Drosophila melanogaster: one gene and its partners. The protein of the gene in region 4 interacts with the protein of the main gene of each other region in a pairwise test. Each region holds a gene or a part of one and is shown on either strand. Other genes may lie near its edges.

Region 1 (4,964 bases), on a different chromosome or scaffold from region 4:
CAATCGTAACGAAGTTATGGTTCTTAACCTTAGTAAACCTTTTAAGCATGGCTTGTCTTTCATACTTCTCATTAAAAATATATTGCCTGTAACAAAATCGAATCCATTATGCTTTCCCACCTAAACCAGTTAAGAAGATACACTTTGGCCACATGTTGTCGGTCATCAAATGGCTGTCAAATTACCTAAACTCCAATGCAGAGCTGCTGCAACTGATGAAAAAGATCGTGATTATGACGAAGGCGATGGGCAACCCACACGAAATGCTAATGAATTGTTATCAGTTAATTGTCTGAGCGGGGTACCCGGCTTTGTTATCTCAGCTCTTATGCTTTTATGCTTTATTTGAATTCGATTTGGGAACGCGGCGTGGGTGTTCCCCAAACCCAAAGTCCCCACTCAAGTGGCAGCTAATAGCCCAATAAATTGTGATTGTCGGCGGCGAGGAAACCGAAGCAACACACACATAATATTAAGAGAAGACCGTAGTACCTTTGTGCAGCTAAGCGAACTGTCAATGGCTGGCACATTGTTCGATTTATGACCATTCTGTTGGCCAGGGAATGTGCAACCAGTTTATGGGATGGATTCGCACGGACGAATGCTGAATGCTGGATGTTCCACAGCGCAGGCGCAAATCCTTTTGACATGTCCAATGTGCTCAGCATTTAGACAGTGGGCAGCTATTCTGTTGCCAGTGGCTAATAGTATGTGGCAATGCACTTGGCGAAACTATTGTATCTAGCACAATCAAAAAAGTTATATACAAAAGTGATTATGCTTAAGGAAAGTACTGTACATATATAATATAACAGACTTACTTAGGACATGAATTAAAGTACATTTAAAACCTTTATCATGTTTAACCCATGAATTTTTGATTAAATCTAGACTTAGTGGCATTTTTCGAGTGTGGTTGACAGTAGCACTCTTATGATGACAACGACAGATCCAGCACCCGATATGGACAGAAGGGCTGGAAACGAGTTCTTCTTCGCTCTGGGACTCGGATTCTCGATGTGAAAGATCAGCGAGCCGTGGCCTAAACTGGCTGCCCGGCAGCGGTGGGTAAATATTTAACTTAACAACTTGCCACCGACCGAAGAAGATGCAACAAAAGCAGCCGTGGCCGCAAGAACAACAACGGCGGACCATAAAAAGCACAAACCGCAACTTCCAAATAGTTTGAACTGTGCAGAGAGTGCAGAGATGATCCTCCTATAAACAAAACAGCTGTAACGCACTCAAAAACCAGCCAACGACCAGCCGAGGGCATACCTGCCCACTGCGCCGCCCACCACCCACCACTGCGCCCCTCAGCCCCACCACAAAGAGTTCTTCCGCCTGGCGAATTCATCCGCTCCACAGTTGCATCGAACAAAGGAAGCCAACTTGTGCCCCCATCGGTCCAATTTCGTTTGAGCGAACCAGCCAATGTGCACCGAACATGGGCTTCGACTGGTCTGACAGTGCAGACCAGCTGGCTATTTCTAGCTGTAAAAAAATATATACAGATTATATACAGACTAATAAGAATACACCTGAGAAACATATTAAAATTCCACTGATATTTAGCAAGATAAATTGAGTAGTAAAATCTTACATATTTGTAGAAGTTTGTGTGGCTTCTTATTTTAGAGAAATTTACCCTTTTCAAAATTTTGCTAAAATATCAGGTAAAGATATTTTTAAAAACAAATATATATGTAGATTTCAGAAAACTCGACGTATTTTCTACGGCATCTACAGTTATCCCGATTCCAAAGAAGTAAACAAAAAGTAAAGTGTGCTACTGATATATGAATGAATCAATGTTTAAGAAAATAACTAAATATTTACCGATGTTCGGAGTGTTCAGAGTATACAATCTATATACTTTTGGCTCCACTTTCCGACTGCACTGGCAGCGCCGTCGATCGCCGATCGTTAACTGGACTTTCGGTTTCGGCTGTGCATTTTCAGTTCGTCTCGGGACTTCTAAGCGATCGGTTTGGATTTCGTTAGCTCCGCCGCGCCAGCTGGAAATTTGTATCTCAAAGATCGCAGCCAGTTCGCTCGGTTTTTGTGCCTGGCATACGGAAGCGGCTAACGCAGAATCCGGAAAATCACAAGAGCCGTATATATTTCACAAATATATATATATAGTATGTTTCGAAAAGGCCCATTCACGGCCATTAAAATATTTTATTGTACAAAAAAGGCACAGTGCCGCGTATCTGCTTAATGTCAGCGCGAAAACTCAATTCAATTTATTGTTTGTGATTGCAAATTTGGCATAATTGTGCTTTGATTTATTCGCGCGTGTTTCGGGTCATCTCTATAAAGAGGAATTTTAAATCTGGGCAAGATTATCTCTGTTTTTCTCTGAACACTGGCTGGGTCAGTTGGAATTTGTTCGCCGTGTGTAAGTCACATGCAAATAGCTTTAATTAATTGCAATTACTTATGATTTGAATGTGTGTCAAAGCGCGGTGCGACATTTCCTAGTGCATTAATCTTGCTCAAAATCGCATTGCCTATCCTGTCTAGGAGTTACATGTCACTTATGGACGTAATTTGCATTTTTGTGGAGCGGCTAACTAAGTTGGCTTACCATTTACATATGCGCTTTGGCTGCCAAACAATGCCATAAATGGTCTAAGAATTAATTATCGTGAGAACTTCAAGACAATGTCTTTATTAAATAATTGTCAATAATTCTGAGTAGTTTTCAATGTACAATTTGTGATAATTTTCTTGGTAATTTTCTACGGTAATTTGCACCTTGATAAAAAGTGTTTAAGACAGTGTAATTTGTTTCCGTGTTTTCTTCAATGCAAATTATTTATTTCGAAATGGCAATAAATTGCTCAATAAATTTTATTTCTTTCAACAATGATCTGATAAAGGATTAATTCATTGCTTCGTTTTTGCGTAAACAAAGATTGTTCTGCGGAAATCTTGTAATTTATTTTTACTCTTTTAGATAAGTTTAAAATATATATATTTTATATAACCATTTTTCTTCACTATCGAAATGAACATTTTATAGCCCAACATTATTGCTGACATGAATGCAACCAAAATAAATATGTAAATCTTGTGACGTTATCGCCATCAAAAATTAGTGTAAATAATGTGACAAAGCGGAAAACGACACAAATCAAAAATAGATGTATCAATACTTTCCATTGTTTAGACTAGTTTGGCTAACAATTATGCATACATATGGCTAAATGAGTTTCGTTTTTTTTTTGTTTGCCCCAACGTGCATTCTGCATTCTCACACATATCGTTTGGCAGGTGAGCAATCAGAAATCGAAGTTTGGGGCACGATCCGTGGAAAGCGATCGTGCCTTTCTGCGTATCATAGTGTCTATACAAATGTTATTATGGTTAACGCCACTGGAAAGTGGGGTGGAGTTTGTTGTTGGTTTTCTTGTTTTTCCTCGACTTTGCTAATTAGACAAAGTCATTTCCATAAATTACGCAGCTAACGGTAACTGGGTTTATGACTTTTGTCCGGCTTGGTCGCGGGTCAACATGAACCATAGCTATATGCATACATATATATGGATATATACTATTTGTTCATATGGGCAATGGGTCTGCGGGGCACGTGTGGGCGTGGCCTCCGCCCCCTTGCAGCTGCAAAGCAATTAGCAAAAGACTGGACATGCCAGCAAATTGAGCTCTGCTGTTGCAGTTTTTCCTTTGGCCTTTTTTGGGTCGCTGCAATTGTTATTGAAATGAGTTTTCGCGTTAAAAACAGTTGAACTTGCTGGAAAAAGGTACATGTATCTCACAGTTATCGATCACAAATGAGTAATTGGCCATTAGAAACGGAATATGGTCACAGGATATCAAATAAAATGAAATTATTATTGAAGGCTATACTCAGCAGTATCTGTAATTATAAATCCATTAAATCTAAAATTGTGCAATATTTTTCTCAGTGTGCTAAAGGGGGTTGGTGAGGCATGCGACTTTTGAGATGTCAAACTGTCGATGTTGAACACGTTGCATAGTTTTCGCTTTTCATCTCCGACTTTGTTAGGGAAGAAACGCAGCCACAAAGGCCAACAACATTCCTTAAATTGGATTGAAAGTAACAAAGTGAAGTGTAAACAAAAATTGCGATCGATACCCCCCCCCCCCCCCCGCCGTTTTGTTGATCTTGTTAAAAAATAAAAACATTCGCAATGAAATAGTGGGGAGGCAACGTCGAAAGTAAACGAGATACAAACTCCGCGGAAATGTGTCATGATCTTGCAATATTAAAGACAGCGACACAATATCAACAAATGAAACACAAAACAGCACACACTATTAAACCACATGCGAGTATTTTGTTGGCCGTGATTTTTCTACCCATCACGGCTGTCATGGCTGTCTTGGTTGTCTCGTGGGAAAAATCAAGATGAGCCCGGCAGCCAGAACAATAAACAAAGCCAAGGAATGAATGAAATGTGTAACCCCGACGCAAATATTTGGCAATATGTCAGATAAGATATATTCGATAATTTCCCATCGCACTGGGTTATTGAACTCAGAGAGCAGCGTGAAAATTATATCGACAGTGGGTGGCTTTTCTTTCGCCTTTTCCCACCCCATTTTCTCACACAATTCTCCGGGTGCGATCGATCGTACGGTGCAGTGCAGTTTTCCCGAGATCTAAGGCATTTTGCGGCCCATCTCGGCTGTCTAGATAATGTTAATAAAAGCAGCGTTGAAAAGCGTTTGCAACAGCAACAAATTGGAAAATTTGAATTTTCCTCGAGCGGCCATTAAAGAAAAGCTGCAGAGTTACCAAACAATTGCTGGGCTGTTTGGGGATTCTCCTCGGCAGGCGGCGTTAAGCTTTTAGTTTATCTCTTTATAAGAACTTGAGGAGCGGCCCCGATTACACAAAACATAAATAAAAACGCAAGCTAAACTGGCAGCTGTTTGGAATTGCACAAAAAAAAAGAAAATGTTAAAAAAAA
Region 2 (2,736 bases), on a different chromosome or scaffold from region 4:
GACCTATTTTAGCAACAGTTGGCTGGTCATTGGGTTGTACATTTGTCCATCGGTTATTGGCCTTGTACTGCCCATGACCCTCTACTTGACGCATACGAAGTGTGTAAGTAGTATCACTTGTTAACGAAGTTATTTTGTTATACTAAGCTATCCTCTGCAGAACAAGATCCCCCATACTTATTACTTGCATATTGTGGGTCACGCGAACTGTGTCCTTTTGGCCATCTTGTGTTTGGGTGCAACGGCTCTTAAATACCGTAGTGCCTATCTATTTCTGATCTCTCTCATTTTCTACGTTGCTGCTCTGATCATTAACCTACTGACCCGTCTCCATTGTCGCGGTAAGTTAGCTTATATATTCGTGGAGAACTTTTAATGATTCATGCCAACACTTTAGGTTATCTGTGGTCACTGGTGCTGATTGTTTTCCAGATTATACCCTTCATTTACCACGCCTACTTGTTCCACATGTTCATACTTATTCTCATTCCGATGACTGGTCGCTTTGGCGTCTCCACCAATCCGGATATACTAATCGGCGCTCTATGTGGTTTTGGCACAATTTTGGCGTTATCTTTTGCTGTAAGAAAGTTATTCACATTTATTGACTACTTTACTTAATCAGTTTCACTTAGGCTCCTTTAATCAATGTCTTTCGGCGACCGAACTGCATGCTGGGTGGTCTGGCACTGGTTATGTTTATTTTCTGCATGATTGCCGTCTCGGATGTCGGATTCCCGTATCGGCCCAAAACAAATGTCATGCGTGCCGACTTCATGGTAAGGGAAACACTAATAAGCATCCTTTGAAAGACGACTAAGTTCTATTCTTTGTCGGAGCAGCAAGTGCATCGCAAATTTTTCGAGTACAATGGTTCCATCAGCCACGAGGATTCTGGCTACTACTTCCATCTGGGGGATCGAAACAAAGAGGCACCTCTGCGCGATCACATGAACCTGACCAACCTGGTACGCCTGGGCGAGGATTGCGACTCCGAGCTGATGTGCGGTATTCCCTGCTACCGATATTGTAGTGCCCGGGAGCATGCACTTTGGCTTGCTCGAGAGGAGCCCGTGGAACTGCCTTATCCAACGGTCTTGGAGTTCCTTAGCAAGACAGTTCTGTCCGGTGGCTATCAGGTGCGCTATGAGTTCCGGCTAACTGGTCCGCCAAATATGGGTCTGTTCTTCAAGCCACTGGATGGTGTAAAACTACTCCGATGGACGTTTGCTCCCGCAATGCTGGATAATCCGGCCACTTACAGGCCTCCTCTGGAGGTCATGTTAACCTACGGTATTGATAACACTCCCATCGAATTCTTCGTGGAACTTTCTGTGCGTATTTAATGGGTCGTTCTGATAACTATACTAACTAACTGATTCTTAGAAGGACGATGGCAACTTCAATGAACCCGTCTTTGAGATGGGCGTCTCTGGACACTATGTCAGTCCACATGATAAGCGGGATGCGTTGAGCCTGGAGTTCCTTGCCACACTTCCGGACTTTGCCTTCTCGATGGAGTGGCCCAGTAGCTACGAACGGCATATATTCTAGGATAGTTAGCTAATAAGAATACCAAGTCATTGACACTCCCAACCCGAAAAACTTTTATTTTTCGGAAAATGGAAGGGGATCAAACATTGGATGCATTTCACAATGAGTTGGTCGGTAAACATTGGTGGGGGAAAGCTAGCAATGTAGCAAACGGTAAAGGAACCATTTGTGCAAACATTACAGGGAATACTACGACTGCCGCAGTCAAAATATGGGTATAAATAGTGAGGCCTGGACCAGCGAAAGACACACTCAGAGTTCAGCAGCTCGTCCGTCGATAAGCAACAGCCAGCCAGCAATCCTAAAAGCCCAAAAAATCCAATCAACATGAAGTTCTTCGCTGTCCTCGTCTGTTTCTCCGCTGTCCTGGCCATCGCAATGGCATCTACCGCAACTACAACCAGCACTCCCACAACGCCCTCTTCGCCCACGACGACGACGTACACCTATACTACCACCCCGACCTACCCCACCTACACCTACACCACGGACACCACCACCACTAAGCCAATCAAGCAACAGCTCCTGTCCCTGCTGTTCAACAAGAAGTCCGGATAGAGCCGCCCATCCGATCCACGATGCTGCCACTTGATACGATCCTCATCACCTGAATAGCCAAATAAAAACACCAAATACCAAAAAACAAACAAGCGCCGTCTCTTGCTCTCACACAATACCGCAATCGAAGTTAACCATCTCACGTAGCATTGGGCGGTGGGACATTTGGGGCTTTACTTCCACCTCCACCTCCATTTCTACTTCGGCGGTAACTGACATTTGCTCAACTGGCAACGGAACGCCCCGGCTCAGGCATTACCGCCTTTTGGCCGGACCTGTTCAAGAAACATCTGTTCGGCTGCCGCAAAGGTCAAGCGGCACTTGCCACATTCAGTTAGCTGGTGAGTAAGTCAGTTGGCCAGCCAGACATGATCATGGTCAGGTGGCAGTCATAATCCCGCCAATGATGATCATCAAGCCGTTGAGTCAAATGTCTAATGACTGCACTGACAAATTGATGTAGGAATGCAGCAGTCTGTCCCTATTCCTCTCACGCTGCCGAGGATGAGTTATGAATGTCAAGCTGGTCATGTTCAACACGATCCGAGATGATCATAGTGCCTCCAACGCCCCTCGCAATACAGGTGCACAGTGGGCGATGGCTAGCTAGGATAGTTTCTATTG
Region 3 (7,792 bases), on a different chromosome or scaffold from region 4:
TTCAAATTATTACTCCCTTGGACATGGTATGTGACGACAAATTCTCACCATACGAAAAATATGAAAAACTTTGATTTTTAATAACTCGACATATGGCTTTATTTGTACCACATTTCTTCGTACTGTGCCATACCATCCCTATTTTGCCATCCTTACGATACCGCCGTCATTATCTTCATTAATGGGTGGGTAGAGACCGTTAGGTCAATGCAGGACGGCATATAGAAATTGGGTGACGCACTCTTAGACCATAACCAAAACTATCGTATATTCTCAAAAAAAGGGGACTATGACTATAAAAATAGCTATGTATTTAACTCTAAACCTCTATAGATTTTGATAGACCATGACATTGTGTGGAACATGATGTCATTTTCTAGACATTGTGCACGAAGATCATTCCCGAAGTCGACCGAACACTTATTCCGTGCATGTTTCATCAGACCGCCGGCAGCATATTTTAGCGTTAGGCGTGCACTTCCTTGTATAACTGTGTACACCTACAAAAAATTTCAAAATCAATCTATCGGGCACGCTCCGTTAATCGAAGTACTTTACGATTTCGATTTTAAAGATTGGTGCTCCGGTTTTCAAATTCGTAAGGATTTTCGATGTGTATAACGGGCACTTTTGTCTGGCCGAAATGAAAAGTATATGCCCATTTTTATATCACGTTAGATCTTAACCAAGGGAAAAAATAGTTCAGTAGTCTATTGATTTATATTCATTAGTTATTTTATATACAATTTATTTCTGACCCCATCAAAAATTTGATATACAAAATTTTGCTGTCGGCAACAAAAATTTTCGATTTGGCATTTTAAAACGCAAGATCGGTGCTCCGGTTTTCAAATTCGTAAGGATTTTTCGATTTGTAAAACGGACACTTTTGTCTGGCCGAAATGAAAAGTATATGCCCATTTTTATATCACGTAAGATATTATTTACCAAGGGAAAAAATAGTTTACTCAGTGGTCTATTGATTTATATTAATTATTTATATTCATTATTTATTTTATATACAATTTATTTCTGACCCCATTAAAAATTTGACATACAAAATTTTGCCGTCGGCAAAAAAAATTTTCGATTTGGCATGGGGTCATGCGTGCGTCGACTAAACTTACTTATAAAATATAAAAGAATTAATTATCTTAATTTAAAAGATGGCCTATAGTGTTCGTAAGTAATGCTATTTAATTTAATTAATTAAACGGTCAAAATGCAGTAAAAAATTAAATGCGAACATCGGAATTAAAATTGTGAAAAAGGTGTCCGCTGGAAAACAGCTTAAACAGCTGTTTACTGTACAGAAAACACTCCGACAGCAAAAAATTTTACGAAATCAAATCGAATTCGGAAACAAATTACGATTATTCGGTAATGCATGCCTGATTATAATTTCTTGATTTGTTTTATATTAAATTTAAAATTTAATAGTTTAATAATATAAAAATATTCTTATTTATATTATATATTATGAGTATTTCAAATGTAAATAATCATATAAACTATTTTATAAAACATCGACGTTACATAAATAAAATTTATTTTTTGTTTTTCAAGTGTAAATAATAATATTAATCATTTTAGAAAACATTCGGCACCTTTACTCGACGCTCATACGAACGGACAGATATGCTTAGTCTGGTATCGCTTTAGCACCAGTAGGAAAAACCTAGAATTTCTTTTCCCACAAATGTCACAACTTCAAAATTCCATTGTTTCACGGTGTTTCTCTTTTAATGTTTCAATATTAATATATATAATGCCTTAAGGTTCAATAAGAACAAAATATTTTCAATGTCTATATCCCACTCCAATTTAGCGTGATATTCACAAAGCTAATCGCAACATTGTGAGCATTAAAAATTGTTATATATGTATGTAAGCGTCTTGGGATTATATTCTCATGAAACTCAACAGTCATATATATGGCCTTAAAATACGTATATATATATATATATATTAATTTTTCAAAGTGTGTGTTTGCATAAGTGGTGTGTACTATTTGTATATTCATTGTACAATTTCTCCCGTTCATATAGGAGAGTGTTCTGTTTTTAATAATTTTGGATATCTTAACTTTTTCGACTTTCTGTAATAAGTTAGATTACACAGTGAACTATAGTCCTTAGCAATGGATACATCAAAGATTAGTGCCAGGTATGTGGATTAAATATTGGTAAATTTTAGTCAACTTTTTCGATATTATTCTCGCGTACTGTTTTTTTAAACTTGTATATGTACTAACATTGTTTTAACAATCTGTTTCACATTAGGTACTCGAAAGTAGACCTGTTAGCTCTAAGATATGAAGGTAAAAGTCGACAGCGCCCGCAATGTTCAACACGACTTGAATTGCAGACGCTAGGTTTTTGGAAAATTAATCTGAACACAGCTGCGTTAACCGTGTCCAGCGCCTATTCTAATCAAAACAAGAATCGACTTTCTCCAGAAGCAGATAACTCGAGCTTAATTTGTTCCAATAGTAGCTCAATAAGTTCACGTCGCGCTATGAGAAATCGAGAACGGGCAAACAACTATTACCAGCGCTTCGTACCTACCGATTCTCTTCTAATAAGTGGGGAGGATAAAGATAAGGATGCGCTTTCTCATGGACAGCCCTATAAGTTGAATATCATCGATCACCGTAGCATATCATCTTCACATTTAATGCCGGCATTTGCAAAGAGGCGTTTTGTCATATCGAAAGGCAGCAACAGCGAGGAAAGCAACGAGGGGATAAACACTTGTGCAAGCAAGGGCAAGGCAGCCAGTTCGCCTAGCCGTAAGGGTAGCGAGTTGGATACTGCTGAGACATGTTTGAATTTTGTTCAGCCGGATCACGACCAATGCATGTCATCTTCACCTACATTTTCAACATCCCGCCAAGAAAGGCGGATTGGTAGCGGTCGGCTGTTGCCAAGAAGTGATAATTGGGATTACAAAAACGAAAAGACCGTAGAAGCCAGCATTGAGAATGAAAAGGAAACATCTCCAAATGGATCTGGAAGTACAAGCAGTCTTAATCAGCACAATCAAAGCCAACATCGTTCTCGAACATTCAGTGGAAGGTTAGTTGAACGTGTTCCCGAAGTCACAGATCGTCGTTTTCAATATGACTCCAAAAAGTCTTTTGATCGTCAGGGAATTAATAATCGACGCATTTCTGGTAAGGAGCCTTTCAGTACTCAAAGCCGAAGCAAGCGTGGCAATTCCTATCTCATTCACGAAGAACCTGAATGGTTCAGTGCAGGACCTAAATCACAGCTAGAAACTATTGATCTACACGGGTTTGAAGACCTGGAAAAAAACGAAGAGCGATCCGTAACTGAAGATAAAAATAATCAAATTCAACAACTTGATAAAAATTTAGACGCGCAAGCAAGCAAAGATGAAGCTTCGATGAGAAACAGCAATGATAGTTTAAATTTCCGCGAAGTCATTCCAAGTGATGAAAAGAAGCACACTGACGAAAATGTAGTGACTTCTATTCAAAACTCAACAGATCTCGGCCATCCCAATAAAAACAAACCAATTCAGATGCAGCCCAGTCAGAATCCTGAAAGTGAATTTAATTTTGATGCCTTTCTTAATATGCATCCCTTGGATAATTCCGTTTTGGTAAATATATTGCAAAAACTAGATTTTAAGGAATGAGTACCTAATCCATTCAGACATTACATGGACAACTTCCGGGTTACCTTTTATTGACGGATCAATAATAGTATTCAAATAAGCTGTAAATAATGATATTAACTCCCGTTACTCAAGTAAAGGGTAAAGAGTTAAAGGGTATACTAGATTCGTTGAAAAGTATGTAAACTATATATTCTTGATCAGGATCAATAGCCGAGTCGAACTGGCCATGTCCGTCTGTCCGTATGAACGTCGAGATCTCAGGAACTAAAAAAACTAGTATGTTGCAATTTAGCATACAGATTATAGATACGAAGACGCAGCACAAGCAAAGACACTAGAATAACAAGATGCGTAACGGCCATACATTGGTTTTGCACTATGCAGCCAATTTTTTAGTGACGGCCAAAATTGCTCTCTTTCCGCTCGCTCCCGCTGAGAGCATAAGAAATCTAAAAATAGAATTTGCTTGCTTGTGTGAGTAAAAACAAGAGACGAGAACGCATATATGTGTGCGTGTTGTGCTAGAAGACGATTTTCGGACCGAAATCAATTCTGATCAAAGAAACGAATTTACATTGTACATATTAGGGTAGTTTTTGTCAATTTCGTAGCAATATGATAAAATAAAATAATTTTTAACTGACTATTATCATTTTAAAGCTTTTTAAATTTGTTTGTTAAAATCGCCGCTCGAATTAGCTACCGTTTACACATTTATATTTATGTTTAATTCTAATTTGTCTCTCATCTGACAATTTTTTAAAAGCGAAATATTTTTTTTTTTAAACACTTTTAATGTTAATGTTACATCATATTAAGTCAAATGACATAATAAATATAGTAAATAATTAAATATGATAACTGTTTATTGCAAAAGTCATATCAAAGACACTAGAATTATTCTAGTGTCTTTGCTTTGTTCATATCTTGAAGCACGAAGTACGGACACAAGCACTCAACAATCATTGCCTTATTAATTTTTCACACGCCGCAAGATGAATACTCTAATGACAAATATTCTTATATAAAGTCATTTTTGAAATTTATTTTTGTGATAATATGTACATAGATTTGGCTATTTCTAATCTATTTTCATATAATAATAACGTTAAGGCAATGCAAAACAAGAATTTTTCGCATGGTGCCAATTGATCAAAAATAATATAGATTTAAAGTCAAAGAACTTCTAAGGTGAAGGGCATATTTTGTGAAATTTACAATGCATGAGCATGCCTGTGTACACATACAGTTGTCTGCTATCACTTTATGCGTTAAAAACAAACAAACAAACCGCCCAGAACTGCCACGCCAACATTTTTGAAAAATGTTCTGATATTTTTTCATATTTTTATTAGTCTAGTAAATTTCTATGGATTTGCAAAAAAAAAAGTTTGCCCCGGCAACTCTAATACCCTAGAATTTATATTTTAAAGGTAAGCTTATTAATTTTAAGATATATTTATTGTACATTTGCAGAGTAATGATGAAACTGGAAAAAGTGACTCAAAAGGAACATCCCGTTTTAGCCGATGGTTTCGACAAAAAGAAGCTGCAAATAATAATGAGTTTCCAGGGTTTCGGGAATCGCATGCTCAAGAAAAACGTGGTATGTCAAGATTTGTAATAATATATCAAAGGCCTTATAGTTCACTTTGTTCTTAAGGTATTCCAAGTGTTAAGGATCTGGAAGCTCAAATGATAAAAGTGGATATGAGGACTGATTTAATAAATCCAATAGCAGGGTCATTATGTCAGACAGTGCAAATGGAAAAACCTATTGCTAGAGACACTGAGGCATTCAAAAAACTTTTGCAACAGTTGGGTTCTCAAGCCAGGCAGCATCATCCATGCAACGACGATTGTCGTACAATAAACCTCTCAAATATAGCAAATCATGTACACCTTGAGTCAAAATTACATCAAAAAATAAATGATGGTCATTTGCAGCAACCAGAGTTAAGTGTTAACGTGCCAACCATGCCAACTAGTAGTCATGTATTTTTGCAAAAGCGTTTGGAAATCCAACATTTAATTCAAAGTAAGATATGTTTCAAAATTCCATGTCTATAAACTTTTTCTTGAATACTTAAGTCCTTTTTCTTGTCCTTATGGTAAAATAATATAAGGTTTCTGGCTGATAAAACACATGAATGTTACAGTTTACCATATACATGTTTACCATCAGAACGGGAACTTATTTAAAGCGTATCTGGTAAAAACCACGTGTTCTTATTTTAATGCTTTTATACCCTGCGCTGTATTTAAATATTATGAAAAACAAAATGTTTAATAATAAATAGGACTTCATTGTGGAGACGTTTCACATGATTTTTTGGAAAAAGAATTGGATAATCCCAGCACCCCAGCAGCCACAAAGGATGTCATTGCCACAGTGTTGAATGAATATTCTCATTCTAAAAGAAATCCGGTGGTCACAGGCGATCCCAATATTTTTACCCAACAATCGTTTCTTCAGCCTCAATCAGTCCATCAGCACTACTCTCAAGGTAAGTAATTCTTGGTTATATGGTAACTCTTTAAAATTCAATTAATATAATATTTGATTCAGTTAAAGTATCTTATTTATTACTAAAATTATTTGTAAAAATTCCTTAATTTTTTTCTAGAATTGCATTCGCAAAATACTGCTAACCATACGATTAATCAGCTAATTTCCCACGGTAACTCTCCAACTCCGTTGGCATTTACTCCTACTTCAGTTTTAAGAAAAATGACAGCCGATAAGGATACGCAATCACCAAGCACTTATTGTCAGAACCCACAATATCATGTACACCAACAAAATGCCAAGCAAGTCGGTACTCGTGAGAACGTACTTGAGCCACAGCTGACCGCAACAATGGCTGTACAGCCCCGAATGATATTAGGCGGTGGAAACTTTGCCATTGGCCAAAACAATCAACATTTGTCTCCCAACATGTCACAAAGTCGTAATCAACAAGTGTTAAAGTGGACTTCTGGCAATATGCAAATGGTCCACGGAAAAACATTTGGTAAGTTACACAAAAAAGTGTTAGCTATTATTAAAGTACATTTATTAGTTAAAGCTTTGTTTTTTTTTTTTTGCTATAAGTTTTTTTTACTCGTTCTCATAAACTTAATGTAAATGTATATGAATTTCAAGAGAAATTATAAAAATCGTTGAGTTACCATAAAAAGCGTGCAAATACGCAAATACAAAATTCAGTTCTTAAAAGAGGATAGTATAGGATAGGAGAAAGTGGATGCTTTTTATACCCGTTACCCGTAGCGTAAAAGCAAAGACATTAGAATAACAAGATACGTAACGGCCATATATTGGTTTTGCCAAAGACATTAGAATGACGAGTAACGCCATACGTTTTTTAGGATTTTTGTTGACTTTTTCATCAATTTATTAGTCTCTTAATCAAGTAAATTTTCAAAAGTTTTGGTGGCTTTGTGGGCGTGGCAGTTTTGGCCTGTTTGTGGGCCTTAGAGTGTCCGCAGCATCATGACTCTCTCAAGCTTCTCAACTCTCTAGCTTCTATAGCTCCTGAGATCTCGATGGCCAGATCGACTCGGCTATTGATCCTGATCAAGAATATATATACTTTATATGGTCGGAAACGCTTCTTTCTGCCTGTTACATTCTTTAAAACGAATATAGTATATCTCTACGAGAACCGGGTGTAAATATACAACCTGTAGAATAGCTAAATTGGCTTTTTGAGACACGACGTGCGTGCACGTATATACTTACATAATATAGAGAGTATTTTTTAATAGACCAAAAAATAAATATTCATATACACAGTTTGCTTAATTTATATTCTGTGCAAGAAGTGTACCCTACAATTTTGATTATTCTTGACTTATTGGGGTAATGAAAATTACGATTATTTAGTGGAATTTTTTGAAGTGGACTTTGTTTTAATGTAGTTATCTGTGACCCAAAGCAATATTTTATTCTCTAGGAATAAATATCTTTGTTAAACAACGCGATATAATAAACTTGAGATCTTCGACTTCTGTATTAATGGGTTCAAAGACTTACACATTATTATTTTGACTTACATATTTTAGGCCGACCTATTCTGAAAGGAGGTCTTAATTCAATGCCGCATTCCAATTCTGCACTTCCTTTTACTGCCCATAAAATTGAAAT
Region 4 (4,011 bases):
GATAAGTATCAGCGAAACTGTTATGACATTTGTGGCATTGAATTCTTTTATAGTTTCCCTGCACATTTATTTATGTATTTCCCCAATTGGCGTGTAACATAGCAAAAAGAAAATCAATCAAATTCAATGCTAAAGGGATTTCTTGCCTGCAGCCTAAATTGGCATGCGAACCGGTCTTGTTTACAAACAAATAGTACGTGAAATTATAAGTAGAGGCAGTAAGCTGATAAGAGCGCGTTACGAAACTGTTTCGAAGAAGAACAGCAGTTGGCCAGCAGCTGATAAGAAGGTGAGACAAAGAAGCAAAAATGCCACGCTGCGATAAGCGTGGCGCCTTAAATCGTAAAGTTCTTTTAACTGATGTATTTCGGTAACATAGGCTAATAGCGAATTTAAATTGGCGCCCAGTAGTATTGGGTGTTTATCGATTGACATTCAGGGCTACCTGCCTCGAGAACAGAAGAGCTATCGATAGGCAGGTTGTACAGGGATTTTTTAGTGATAAAGTAGAGTGGTTTTTTCTGCGTCTTTTTCCACGGAAGCTGTTAGTTAAATGAAAAGTAATTTAATTGCAGCAAACTGTGGCTTTAATTAAAAAGGTTTCTCTGAAGGTAAAAAGTACTTTTTCCGTTGAATGCAATTCTTCAAATGTGAACATGCTTAAGTGAAACGCGTGAAATTCCAGAGATTTGCCCATTTTGGCAATATAGGTGTTGTTGTTTTTGTGCTGCGATAGCGCTGCGCAGATCGTCTTCTTGGCTGAAAATCAACCGGATCTGGCTAGAAGGCCGCCAAGCGAGCAGAGCTTAAAGCCAAAAGACACAGATTGATCATTTCTATATGTTTTTGCAGTGTTTCACTCGCCGTGATCAGAAAACGTTGTACACCAGGTGCAACAGGTGCCGTTGTTCGCAAGTGAAAACCAGTTGAAAGCAACTAAAAAAGAAAAGCCCACAGAATGCCGCCCGTGCAGTAAGCAGAATGTTCCGCCCCACTTTCTTAACGTCCTTGTCTTCAAAACGCCCACATATTGCATCATTTGGCAGCATAATAATCATCGTTATCCATTCGCACAAATAAGCATTTCGCTAATTAATAAAAAAATATAACTAATTCAGGCTAGCAGTGCCTATCATTCATGCCCTAATCCAGCGTTAACCCTCTGCCAGTGATGGTGGTGCTTTGGACCCCCATTCAATGCAATTTTCCTGCCAGATGTTTACTCCATCGATGACGTCATGGTCATATTCAAATTTATTTTTAAACGCCGCCACTCGAGTGTGTGTGTGTGTTTGTGCGAGAGTGCGTGTCTGTGTATTGTTTACTCTTCGTATTTTTGTGTGTATTCGTCGGATTTGATTATGATGAGTGGGCCGCTGTTGTGTTGGCGGCAAACCCAATTCCAATTGGATGCTTGAATTTGTAACCCCTTTTGGAGGCCAAGGAATGTTCAATGACTCAACCAGTAATGGGGAGTTGATAGTTACATCTTATTATATATATTGTTTATATACAAACTTTTCAAATGGCGCTCCTGCTTGTAATAATTACTTCAATTACTCATTATAGCCATTCATTGTTATCCAGCTTAAAGCGAATATGATAGTTCTTCGTATATATTTTATATATGTATATATAACCTGTTCCGAAACGATATATCACCAAGCCATCACATCTGCAGCGTATCACGCTTGATATCCAACTGCCATGCGACACTCTCTGTAATGAAAGCTAAACTTCCACGGAATGCCAGAAAGCTTTTTGGCTGTGCATTCGAAGGAAATATGATTCAGACATCGTCAACAGAGCCGGCAAGCGATAAGTCTCATTGTTTTGTCCAGTTTCTCATTTCACGCCCTGCCCTAAAGTCGTTTTTCTTTGCGCTCAAGCTATAACCATGATGTACTCTAAGGCTGAAGTGTAATGGCCTCTGAATTGGTTAGTTACTTACCAACAACTGATCCTGATCTTCTTCTTAATTCACAGAGTCCAGGCAGCGAACATGTCGCTGGGTGCCATGCATTGTACGCGATGTGCCGACGGCTTCGAGCCGACTGAGAAGATTGTTAACTCCAATGGAGAACTCTGGCACACCCAGTGCTTCGTGTAAGTAAACCTCAATGTAGTTGTTTCACTAATACCCTCACTAATAAACATTTTCTAGATGTGCCCAGTGCTTCCGACCCTTCCAGGATGGGATATTCTACGAGTTCGAGGGCCGTAAGTACTGTGAACGCGACTTTCACGTGCTCTTCGCTCCCTGCTGCAACAAGTGCGGCGAGTTCGTCATCGGACGGGTCATCAAGGCCATGTCAGCTAGCTGGCATCCACAGTGCTTCCGCTGCCAATTGTGCGCCAAGGAGCTGGCTGATTGCGGATTCATCAAGAACCAGAACCGCGCCTTGTGTCACGAGTGCAATGCCAAGGTGAAGGCGGAGATTACCGGCCGCTATGTATGCCAAAAATGCCAGTAGGTTTCAAAGGCTTTAGGTGAAAACATGTTGCTAATTACTCTGCTTTTCAGCGGCCTCATCGACGAGGAGCCTTTGCGATTCCGGGGCGAAGTGTACCACGGCTATCACTTCAGTTGCACGGCCTGCGGCACAGAGTTGGATTCCACTGCTCGGGAGGTCAAGAGCCGGCCAGGATTGGCTGCTAACGATATGGTGGGTTTTTTTTTCTTTAGCAAATAAGAAGCAACTGAATTATTATTCCATTATAGAACGAACTGTATTGTCTGCGTTGTCACGATAAAATGGGCATTCCCATATGTGGTGCCTGTCGTCGTCCGATTGAGGAGAGGGTGGTAACGGCGCTCGGAAAGCACTGGCATGTGGAACATTTCGTGTGCGCCAAGTGCGAGAAACCCTTCTTGGGTCACCGACACTACGAGAAGCGGGGATTGGCCTACTGCGAGACGCACTATCATCAGCTCTTTGGCAACCTGTGCTTCGTCTGCAACCAGGTTATTGGAGGCGATGGTGAGTAACTTAATTGAACTATATTCTGGGTTTATTTAATGCGCTCATTCCATAATGCCAACAGTTTTCACTGCCTTGAACAAGGCCTGGTGTGTGCACCACTTTGCGTGCTCCGTGTGCGACACGAAGATGACACAAAAATCGAAATTCTACGAGTACGACGAGAAGCCGGTGTGCAAAAAGTGCTATGACCGATTTCCAAACGAACTCAGACGACGTCTGCGCACCGCCCACGAGATGACAATGAAAAAGAACACCTAATGCCTTGGAGCGAGTCTCAGATCCACACCAAACAGTGCCTTTGTCGTTGTAGACCCGCTTTCACTACCATTTTTAACATTTGAGAAACTAAAACCAAACAAACTAAAACCTCTTGTGCATGTCCTTTCCGTCTGTTGTAATCCGGTTGTGTGTAACTTAAATTTTAAATCGAGAATCAACGGCATCAATAGCTAGGGAACATAACATTGTGTATTAAAAGCCTTTAACGTTGTTATTTAATGGAATTTTATTTATATATAAATGTTTTTAAAATTATAAAACGTAATGCTTATTCGCAATAACTTCGTAATGTGTTTGACCCGATTTAGTTGTGGTGTCAAGTAAATGGCATTTGATGCACTTAAAATTTACAAGCTCAACAGCTTCTGAATAAGACTTCCCGATTTAATTACGGCTATATGGTTGATATATTTGATACTATCAATATGAACTGACTGATGGACCTTCAAAACCTCAGCCAGATAGGAAACCTGTGCTGCATTCGGGTTGTGCGGGAATTCTATAAAGTGTTTGTTCAAATGTTATGCTCAAGACAAATGTTTAATATCCATACCGTCAATCACGCAAAGGTTTGTGGCACAGGGAGCGGTGAAGTCTAATGGATAGCGACGGATATCCATTTCGGTTATGTCCTCTACATTCGTGTAATCGAGGTACATTACCCGGTACTTTGTCTGCTGCCGTGGAACAACTATAATCTGTTCCACTTTGCCACGATACCAGGAACCCTCAAATCTGGCAAGCACAT

What was found.
Region 1: the proteins of stck (region 4) and slow interact in a two-hybrid assay, tested with the Drosophila melanogaster proteins (one large-scale study listed by BioGRID).
Region 2: the proteins of stck (region 4) and CG13159 interact in a two-hybrid assay, tested with the Drosophila melanogaster proteins (one large-scale study listed by BioGRID).
Region 3: the proteins of stck (region 4) and 4E-T interact in a two-hybrid assay, tested with the Drosophila melanogaster proteins (one large-scale study listed by BioGRID).

What each region holds. Positions count from the first base shown.
Region 1 is NT_037436.4:4,382,484-4,387,447, forward strand, and holds the start of slow (slowdown), read left to right. Parts: upstream 1-1,958; 5' UTR 1,959-2,144; exon of another isoform or gene 2,145-2,404; intron 2,405-4,964.
Region 2 is NT_033778.4:12,373,488-12,376,223, forward strand, and holds CG13159 (uncharacterized protein), read left to right. Parts: upstream 1-1,798; 5' UTR 1,799-1,881; coding exon 1,882-2,112; 3' UTR 2,113-2,191; downstream 2,192-2,736. Other genes in the region: CG13160 (uncharacterized protein), read left to right, coding at 1-103, 161-341, 398-582, 636-779, 843-1,334, 1,387-1,554.
Region 3 is NC_004353.4:952,380-960,171, reverse strand, and holds the start of 4E-T (eIF4E-Transporter), read left to right. Parts: upstream 1-1,779; 5' UTR 1,780-2,140; coding exon 2,141-2,166; intron 2,167-2,282; coding exon 2,283-3,627; intron 3,628-5,121; coding exon 5,122-5,251; intron 5,252-5,308; coding exon 5,309-5,683; intron 5,684-5,945; coding exon 5,946-6,152; intron 6,153-6,272; coding exon 6,273-6,659; intron 6,660-7,710; coding exon 7,711-7,792. UniProt on the Drosophila melanogaster protein: eIF4E1-binding protein that regulates translation and stability of mRNAs in processing bodies (P-bodies). Probably plays a role in P-bodies to coordinate the storage of translationally inactive mRNAs in the cytoplasm and prevent their degradation.
Region 4 is NT_033777.3:8,356,485-8,360,495, forward strand, and holds stck (steamer duck), read left to right. Parts: upstream 1-1,843; 5' UTR 1,844-1,897; coding exon 1,898-1,920; intron 1,921-1,986; coding exon 1,987-2,106; intron 2,107-2,164; coding exon 2,165-2,470; intron 2,471-2,524; coding exon 2,525-2,666; intron 2,667-2,722; coding exon 2,723-2,981; intron 2,982-3,045; coding exon 3,046-3,242; 3' UTR 3,243-3,476; downstream 3,477-4,011. Other genes in the region: veneno, read right to left, coding at 3,611-3,762, 3,817-4,011.